Linked DNA regions of Xenopus tropicalis. The protein of the gene in region 1 interacts with the protein of each later gene in a pairwise test. Links are inferred from orthologs where the notes say so. Each region holds a gene or a part of one and is shown in the gene's direction. Other genes may lie near its edges.

Region 1 (5,012 bases):
AGGTGAAGTACAAGGTGTATCACTTCTTGGCCTTTTGGCCAGGGCCGGAACTAGGGGCAGGCAGAAAAGGCACTTTCCTAGGGAGCAACGATGGAAGTGGGGGGGTGCCAGGTAGGTACCTCTCCTGCCTACCCTTAGTCCACACTCCCTTGTTATTGCCCCCACTGGGGGCAAGGTTCCCCTCCAGCTGGGGGCGATGTGGCCATCCGGGTTGCCTAGGGTGCCCTGGTCGGCTTAGCCCACCCCTGGTTTTGGCTAATATCAAGTGTTGTATTACCTGGTATCATTATGAAGCTGGTATCATTACAAAGGGCTGGCAGCTTGATGCCCAAGCATGTTTGTGCCCCAGGCTTGAAAACCCTAGGATGCCCCAACCCACAGTGGGGAGGGACACTGTAACGGCCACGTAGCCAGGGGTGCCACTGCCATAAAGGGAGAAACTCTCCTCAGGCAGCGGCACCCAACAAGTTACCGGGGGTGGAAAAAAAACACTTAAAGAGCCAAAATTCTGATTTTTCAGTTGGAATTTCAGCTCTTCTAATACAGACAGTGCTATTGTGACCACTGCACTAGTAATGCAACCCCCCCACCTGCACCAAAGCACGGGAAGCAAGGGGGCAGCATGGAAAAGCCCACCTCAGGGTGAGCAACATTTCCCCTGCACATAGTGCACTTTACTTGCTTTCACTTTTATGCCCCAGCCTTTTGGCCAATGGCAAGGAAATTTTTTAAAATCCGGCCAATATTGAGACATTTGTTTTGTTACTGAGCTTTTATTTTTGTGTTTTTTCTTCTATGATCTAGTGCAACCTACGATCTGGATCTATCCATTTTTTACAATCTAGCGCAATATACACTTATGGATCTGCACGCTGGCTTGAGGGGGATAATGTGTGGCCATTCGGCTCCTTTCCCTTAAAACCTGGCCCCACCATAAACATACAAGACTGAAGATTCTCTTGGGGGTCAATGGAGCTCTTATAGCAGGGCCTCAACTAGGGGTAGGCAGAACAGGCATGTGCCTAGGGTGCAATGGAAAGGGGACCCCTAATTTGTAGCTCCTGGGGATCTATTCTCCACCATGTTTGCTGCCCTAGGCTAGAGGGGGTGGCGCTGACAAGCAGGTATGAATGGGCCCAGCACTGCCTTATAGGCTTTCTGGATGGAGGGTGAGGATAAAGGGGTAACCCTAGCCCTGCTGTGAAGGGAACCTGAAGACCCTCGCCCCTGCCGGCCTTCTAGCTTGGGGGGTCAGAGATAAAGGGGTTCTCTCTAGTCCTTGGACAAAAGGCAAGAACCTGAAAATTCTGGCCGGTTGGTCAGGTTTTGGGCTCTTCCTTTTCATTGCACATTTGCACTTGTGCACCATGCACTTTTTTGCACTAGGTTATTTATAAGGGTGAAGACACACAGAGATACTAGTAGCAGCTACTTGTCGTGGCTACTAAAATAGACAATGCTGATCATTTACTGATAGTTGTCTCTATGTGTGTTTAGCAGAGGCAATTCTCAGTATTGTCTATGGCAGGGGATTTTCTGGGGTTTAGTAGCTGTGAAAAAGTAGCTGCTACTAGTAGCTCAGTGTGTCTTCACCCTAATACATACATGGGTTTCAATAAAAAAAAAGACCAAGGTATGTAGGTGAGTGTGAATAAGGAATTGTGTAGGTGGGCATCTATTGCTTATCCAGAGCTGCCAGTCACTACTTGCCAGGAATGCTAGGAGCCTACAGCCTAGGGGGTATGACTATATTCTAGGGAAGTGGGGGGGAGGGTAGATTTAGCAGCTGTGAGCCCAAGAGCTTACCATCTAGAGACGTTTGAGCCCCACAGGGGTGAGTTAAGCAGAGAGAGCAGGGAGTAGAAGTGAGTGCCACTCCTATAAGTGTCTGTGTCCAGCCCTCCGCCTCTCCCTCCCCTGTGCCCCCTCCCTGCAGGAAGTGCCTGTGTAGGAATGAAGCGGGGCAGCTACACAGGCAACTGAGAACTTCTTTCCCGGAGCAGAGAATCAGGCAGGGGGGCCGGCTGGCAGCAGGGGGGCTGGCATGGCACTGCGGGGGCACTGACACTATGGGGTTACGGCCATGGCTCTGGGGGCTCTGCGCCCTGCTGCTCCTACTGAGGGGACGCGCCGCCGAGGAAGGTAAGGAGGGTGCGGGTCGCAGCGTAAGGTTCTGCCCATGTACTTACAGCGCGTCCGGGGAAGAGTTTGGAGGGAATCGGGGGTGACCTTTATATAGTAGGGAGTTCATCGGCTGCGATTTCAGTCCAATCTGAGTCACTCCAGCTTTGGTTGCGCTACAACTGACGCAAGTATTCGGGTGCAACAGTAGGGGACGCAGGTAAAGCATTCCTGTATACGCAGCCATTGGAACCTCAGCAATATTAATGAGACTAGAATTAAATAAAGGTGCTCTATAGCCTTAATGGCCCAGTGTGAAAAATGATTAGTGCGACAGAGATGCTAATTGCCCTTGACCAACTGCATAGAAGGATTTCATTGGGGTTATCTCTAGAAGATTGGTGTTAAGGTGGCCATACACTTTAAGATCCGCTCGCTTGGCTTGGCTAGATATCGGTCAGGCATGGCCATCGTTTCTACCCCTACACGGGCCAATAAGCTGCCAAATCGGTCCAAGGGACCCATATCGGCCCGTGTATGGGTACCTTTACCGGATGGGTGGGCACATTGTGCCCCCTGTTTGCTCTGCTCTGTAGGGTAAAACAGTGACTTTTGTTTCTGCAAAGTACAGTGTTTTCCTACCTGTGATGCTTTCTGTACTATAATAAACCTATATTATATATCACTATAACCCAGTGATCTCTCGGGGCAACATGTTGCTCCCCAACCCCTTGGGTGTTGCTCTCAGTGCCCCCAAACCAGGGAGTTATTTTTGAATTCCAAAGTTGGTTGAATAAAAACAAGATTTACTACCAAATAAAGCCCCTGTAAGCTGATAGGGTGCATAGAGGCCCCTAATAGCCAATCACAGCCCTTATTTGGCACCTCCATAAACTTTTATGGTGCTTGTGTTGCCCCCCAAGTCTTTTTACATGTGACTGTGGCTCCCGAGTAAGAAAGTTTGGGGACCCCTGCTATAACCAAAAGCAACTCTGGGTAAAGAACCTGCTAGATAGCTTGGTAAGGGGTATAGTATACAGGGTACCATTCAGTTGCATCTCTGGGCAATGGCACAAGGGGTGATTGCAAGCTCTCCCCCCAAAACACACATAATTGCCTCTCCATTGACCTGGATGGTCTTCTGAAACCTGCCCCAAAATCAGACAATTATTGCTCAGAAATGCCAACTGAGCAATTCCAAGTGATAACTGTCTGACCTGCGAGTGGGGTCCAAGGGCAGTTATTATTCCGGGCAACGGAAGGGCAATTGCTGGAAATCTCAGGGGCAGCAATACATTTGCAATCACCCCATGTGCCATTCCCAAGCACAGTAATTCACCTTGATGGCGGCTGCCAACTACTGTGTCCCCCCCCCCCAACCAAACTGTGGGCTCAGAGCAAGTGTTGGAAGGGGCCCAGCCTGAAAGCCATTGAGGTAGAATACCTATTGCCCCCCCAAAGAGTGTCCCCTCTAAGCTGTGCACACAAATTTGGAAGCCAGAACACACACAATATAGTGCAAAGAATCTAAAAGCACAGTTTACTAATTTTTTGGACCCACCAAATGCTTTTGGGCACCAGAAGACATTTTTTTACTGAAGGTCGAGGATTGTGATGAACATGTTGGGAGATGCTCAGGGCAATTGTGTATGTTACGAGCCCAGAGGTGTGTGTTCTGACACTATAGTAAGAGCTCACGTGCTGATGCCTGAAGGTACCGGTGCTGATGTTGGTTTATTAGAAAGTAAGGGTTGCTGGTACCTGTATATTAGGAGAAGGGAAGGGGGTTCTGGTGTATTGGATCAGCAGGAGCTGGGTCAGGGCTCAGCATTCCCTCTAACTCCCTATTTGTGTGTGTGGGTGCACAGAAAGGGTCACACTTTTGCCCCCCTTAGTGCTCTTGCACTTCTGCCCAGGAGATACATAAATTACCCCTTAAGTTTTTCTACACCTCAATATGTTGTATAAGCTGGTCCCCGCTTTGTATATGCATGCACACTACTGCACATTGGTCTAAAAATGCTACATGGTTGCTTTGGGGTAACGGACCCTGGCAACCAAAAAACAGATTGTAAGGTTTTCCTTTTATGGTTGTTTTTTATTGCTTATATCTGATTTCAGGCACTCTACTAATTATCTTCCAGTCTAAACGTCCCCATACACAGGCCGATTGTAGCTGCCGATATGGGTCCCTTGGACCGATTCGACAGCTTATCGGATATCGGGGGAAGATCCACTCGCTTGGTGAATCTTAACGTGTATAGGGACCTTTGCTTCCTAACATTTGCCTGGTTACTAGGGTATTTAAGCCCTAGCAACTACATAGCTGTTAAAACTCCAAACCTACCAGCTGCCAGCGTAACTGCTGAGGGAGCAGCAGTTGTGATTGCATCTGGGCCTGCCCCCCCAGTAGGGCCCCCTAAATTCACCCCCCTGCCGGAGTCACCACCCGTACCCACCAAGACCTGAAGGTGAGAGCAAGCGCACAGCACATCTTCTGGCAGGGGGCCATACTGGGGGGTAGTGATGTGTGGGTCGACATTTTGTGGATGGGCCAAGGGCCGTGGGCATAAATAGAGGCTTCCAGGTGCAGAAGATTGTGGGCAGGGAGGGCAAAAGGGAAAGCTGAGTCCAAACTCACCGTCGACCCGCCAATAGTGTGCAAGTGTCAGCCCCAACCCACCAGGGGTGTTTCAGGCCGGCCCACACATCACTACTGGGGCGGGCCTTTGTCCAATAGTTACAAAATATGAAAAATATTCATAAAACACACAAAAAAGAAGACCAACTGCAAATTGTCTCAGAATACCAATGCCTGCTTCATACTACACTGCTCTTGCCAGAACAAATGTCTCGTTTTTATCGCCGTAACGCTGCAGCCTATAACCACA
Region 2 (4,992 bases), on another chromosome or scaffold:
TGACCTTGGCTCTCTAGATGTTGCTACACTACAACTCTCTGCATTTTGTAATGTTTTAGCATCTAGGACTTATAGCTCAACAACATGGGTAGGGAGTGAGCGTTGCACACAGCCCCATCACTGGGGTAGCATTAAACCGACACTGTATGAACAGGAGAGAATAAAGATGGAGCTGTGTCATTGAGAGGAGACTGTGGGGATCATCCATAATGTACAGGTGGAGGGGGGACGTGCCTCCCTGAAAACAGAAATAACAAGAATGACTGGGAGGCGGATGCGCTTCTTTTACAAGGGTTACGGGAACAGCACGTAGGCATTCTAACGGTGTCAGGCTGAGGGGGCGGGGCGCTCTATCTGCTCACGCCACGATTTGTCACTGATTGTTGGTGGGCGGGGTTACATTGTCCCGCTTTGCCGGGTATATAAAGGCGCACTGGCAATCCGTTCGTCACTCTGCAACAGGGCACAGAAACGAGAGGTGAGTGCGGGAGGAGTGGAGCCTAGGTTGGGGGTGTGGCTCGGCAGGGTAGGCTTGGGTATAGCTCCTACTATATGCTCTCCTAGGGGGTTTCGTTTGCAGTTGCTAAAGGTACTAATGTCGGTGTCAACTGACAGTGATGGGAGTTGTAGTTCTGTGCTACTGGTACTTTTCCAATGTAGTGTGTTTGTGAGTAATGGGGTTACTGTATTAGTGGCTAAGGATGGGATGGTGTAAGGGCTGCCTGTGCTTAGATTGGGGAGGCTTTAGGGTGGGATGAGTAATGGGGTTCTGGTAGATATAGGGAAGTGGGAACCTTGGGTAATCAGGAGTCTGTGTATTAATGATTTGGGTTGGACACTGGGTGAAATGGGGCACTTCCTGCCCTCTAGTGGGTGGGTATGGGCTATATGGGTGCCTTTGGGTGGGATTTAGCTGCAGGGGGACCAATTCAAGGTGCAGTGGTGTGGGGGTTAATATTAAAGGTAGGTTGTTGGGGGCACAGAGGGGTGGGTGGATGTGCCCAATAGATGGGATGGAGAGTGACTTGGGCACGGGGTACCCTCCTCTTGTTCCCCCCCCCCCCACTAATTTCCTTTCTTGCCTTTAGGGGTTGATAACTAAACCAAGTGACACCAAAATGACTGTCAAGATTGGAATCAATGGGTAAGTTAAGGGGTTAATAACTTCATTGGGGGTGGGTGCTGGGGCTTAAGGGGGTAATATGCAGGTGAGTGGGGGGAGATGCTGGGGTATAAGGGGGTAATGGACCCAGACAAACAGCTGGGGGGGGGTTAATGGCTTGGCAGATTAAAGGCCGATGGGATAGTGTTCTCTGCACGGTTTAGCGATTGGCCAGTGTAAGATGCCCCTTGGCTCTGGCAGTTGAGGGGTTATAAGTAATGAAGCTACAGACCTTTCATAAATGGTTAATGGTCCAGGCCGATTATTCTTTCAAAATGGCTGCTGCTCCTTAACCCCTCCCCTGCCAGAACCATGCGGAGTGTGAAGCTTCCTCACGTCCCACTGAGTCACTGCTCCCCACCTCACACCCCAACCCCTCCTCTCCATCCGCTGCGGCTCCCCATTGCTCCACCTTCTGCCAGGAGGGGGGTACAGTAATGCGCATGGGGGTGTCCCCAGTGTCTGGCTGCTGATGTCTCTCAAGGACAACCCCAAGGTCACAGTGTATCCTGGGCCAGGGTCACCCTTGCACTGTCAGTGTCCTATTGATGAGCTGTACCTGGGGGGCTGATGCACGGCACCTTGGGTGAATCCCCTCCCCTCGCTGCTGCAGAATAAGGAGTAATTGCACAAGTGTGGGGAAGCTGAGTCACGTCCTGCTCCCTGGTGGCAGCCGCACGTAGGCACAGTCCCCTGGCTGTTTTATTCTGGTTAGTGACCATAATCCTCACAGCACAGAGTCTGACTGGGCTCTCGTGAACCTTCTAGAGACTTCTCTCATTAAAGTGGGACACTAAGATGCCCCCCCCTGGCATGGCTAAGTAGGGCTCCTATTAATAGAGGTGTTGATGCCAGCTGCTGTAACCCACGCCAGGGACATTATCATTCTGCCCTGCACGTCTCTGCCAGGACTCGGATCCAGTACTGCCCCACAATGGAGGCTGCTCCCGTCACTCTGGCCACTCATCTCTCAGCCTTACTACACACCCTCCTGTTTGTCCTCATTACGCGTCGCTGAACTTCACTGTTGAACTTCACCCCGAGCAAAGTTCAGCCCTGAATGTGCAGCCAGTCACTCGTATTGTGCCTCGAAGCATGCAGGGCAGTGTCAGGAGTCGCAACAGGCAGGCTGTGTGATTATTGCCTGTAATAACAGGGCAGTGGCAGGCAGACTGATTATTGCTTGTAATAACAGCCATTATTCAGGTTGTGCTGCGTGAGCAGTGCTTGGATAAACTGCCCCCCCCCCCCCAGGCTGGCTCAACTGAGTCTGGGTCAGTGGAGATTTCTGTGTCAGCAGGTGTTGTGCTAATGGCGGCACAGACCTTTTTTTTAAAGGGCAAGTAAACCAAAGTACATTAAGTTTGCATATTTCTTAGTGACAGATTGCCTAAATCATGTGCCCCCCCCTTGTGCCATTTAGAATAGTGGGATCCATTTGATCTAGGTCTCTGTATTCTCTATGTAACTGGCCCCTGTTTATTGCTATTCACTATAATGACAGCTATGTAGGGTGCCCTTCCCACCCTAACTGCTTAAAAAGAGGGGGTAGCAGTGCACCCCATTACTTCTATGCTGATCAACCAATTGCACCAGGCAACACTGCCCAGCAAGAGTCGGCAATTGCCAGTGCACTGTGGACAAACATTGGTTGGCTTGGGGGTTCCCCAAGCCAACCAATGAGGGGAACCAGCATGCCTTGATTCTATGGAGGGTTATGGGAATTGTAGTTTAACATATAGGGATCAAAGGACTAAGCTGTTGCATTGTGGTTTCAGTGCATTGGCTAAACTTCCCCTTTAACATCTAGCTGTGACGTCGCATCACTTATGATGCAAGGCTTTATCTTCTTACTGCTTGCCAGTGGCACAAGGGGTTAAGCGCATAAACATCTAACGATAGAAATCATTTTTTCTTTTTAAGATTTGGCCGCATCGGGCGCCTGGTGACCCGCGCTGCTGTTTTAAGCGGCAAATGTGAAGTCGTTGCAATCAATGACCCCTTCATTGACTTGGACTACATGGTAGGTGGCTCCGTTCATCTGCATTTTTGTGTTCTGGAGTATAAAATGCTCGGGAATTAACCCCTCCCACTCTCCGCAGGCTTACATGTTCAAATATGACTCCACCCACGGCCGATTCAAGGGAACAGTGTGTGTTGAGAATGGCAAGCTGGTTATCAATGGCAAGGCAGTCACCGTCTTCCAAGAGTAAGTGAGGTTGTGGCTCAGTCCTGGCCTGGTTCTAGACTGGGTTCCTGCAGCAGAATCTAATCACAGGGGGGATGTTTACAGTTCTCTCCTCTCCCCAGGCGTGACCCCTCCAACATTAAGTGGGGCGATGCTGGTGCAGTGTATGTGGTGGAATCTACTGGAGTCTTCACAACCAAAGAGAAGGCCGGTGTAAGTAGTTACACCCCCCCCCCCCATAACATTTGGCTTTCTATATCTAGAATTCACCCTGGACTTTTTTTTTTTTAATTTTTACCTGCAGTTGCACTTGAAGGGAGGTGCCAAGCGTGTCATTATCTCTGCCCCCTCAGCTGATGCCCCCATGTTTGTTGTTGGGGTGAACCATGACAAATATGATAACTCTCTTCACGTTGTCAGGTAAGTGTGGGGTAAAAATGGGCGTTCCTTTAAAGGGGGAGCGAACTACCACAATGCTACAGGCTGTCTGCAAGCTTCTGTATTACTGGGTTAACTCTTTAGTTCTCAATAGCTCATGGTTTGCAGCTTCTGTAATCTAATAAGGGCTTGTTTACTATAACAACCATGTAAAACTCTAAGCCTGAAGGCTGTAAATCCTTAAACCTTTTTTTATCAGGATATTTGTCTATACAAATACTGATCAGGCAGGGGCTCCCTCTACTGCCCATAATAAAATTGCAGCCTGTTCTAGGTTTGCTGCTTGGCCAAACCATTCTGTACTTGATGGAACCTCTCAGTAATTGGCTAGTGCTTAGGCCTCTGTAGGCAGGCATTGATGTAGGCTGCCCATTCTCTGCCACTTTCTTTAGCTCAGGAATGTTAATGCTGTAAGTCTCACAGGCAATTACTGTTCTACATAAGCTGGCTAGCTTCAACTGGCAAAGTGGCTCTGCCTTCCCAGCCCTGGGCCTGCCTTTACAGGGCCTTGCCCCAAATACAAGCAGTAATGTGTCCTCCCTATATGGGCTGGCCTCTTTACTCTGATGGAATAAGGGAGTGATGCTTAGTTTACCTTTTCCCCTGCTTTGCCCGCAGCAACGCATCCTGCACAACCAACTGCCTGGCTCCTCTTGCAAAGGTCATCAATGACAACTTTGGCATCCTGGAGGGACTGATGGTAAGTGCAGTGGGGCTTATTCAGCTTGGGACATAGAGCCTAAAGCAAACTGTCTCCCCCCTCACCCTGTATGAGTGACCTTAATGGAAATTATACCCCCCCCAAACAATGTAGGTCTCTCTAAAAATAGTGTGAACAAGCTTGTACATAAAAACCCTGCTTTGTGCAAGTTTTCATAACTTAACTTACTTTTTTGTAGTATGTGCTACTGGGTAATCCTAAACTAAAAACTGCCATTTTATGAATTAAGGGCCGCCCCCTGGGATCATAGGATTCACAGTGCACACAAACAAGCCAAGGCACACATACATGCTAGGTCCCATCAGCCAATGAATGGACTGAGTCCTGCCTTTTGCTCCCACGCTACCTCTGATCTCTGAGGGAGCACACAGCCCATCACTAAATGGTGGATGAAGGGAAAGGATGTAAAAGGGCTATATATAATAACGCTTTTTTAACCCATCACCTTTTTTTTTTTTTTTGAACTATTTAATAATTCTGGGG

Evidence for each region. The genes of interacting proteins can lie anywhere in the genome.
Region 2: the proteins of erbb2 (region 1) and gapdh interact in a protein complementation assay, tested with the Homo sapiens proteins (2 studies listed by BioGRID and IntAct, with this or other methods). The link is inferred for Xenopus tropicalis from reciprocal best matches to the Homo sapiens genes ERBB2 and GAPDH.

Annotation. Positions count from the first base shown.
Region 1 is NC_030686.2:9,878,365-9,883,376, reverse strand, and holds the start of erbb2 (receptor tyrosine-protein kinase erbB-2), read left to right. Parts: upstream 1-1,913; 5' UTR 1,914-2,069; coding exon 2,070-2,142; intron 2,143-5,012. UniProt on the Homo sapiens protein: Protein tyrosine kinase that is part of several cell surface receptor complexes, but that apparently needs a coreceptor for ligand binding. Essential component of a neuregulin-receptor complex, although neuregulins do not interact with it alone.
Region 2 is NC_030683.2:10,005,616-10,010,607, forward strand, and holds the start of gapdh (glyceraldehyde-3-phosphate dehydrogenase), read left to right. Parts: upstream 1-1,899; 5' UTR 1,900-1,947; intron 1,948-3,085; coding exon of another isoform or gene 3,086-3,182; coding exon 3,183-3,185; intron 3,186-3,264; coding exon 3,265-3,371; intron 3,372-3,472; coding exon 3,473-3,563; intron 3,564-3,654; coding exon 3,655-3,770; intron 3,771-4,406; coding exon 4,407-4,488; intron 4,489-4,992. UniProt on the Homo sapiens protein: Has both glyceraldehyde-3-phosphate dehydrogenase and nitrosylase activities, thereby playing a role in glycolysis and nuclear functions, respectively.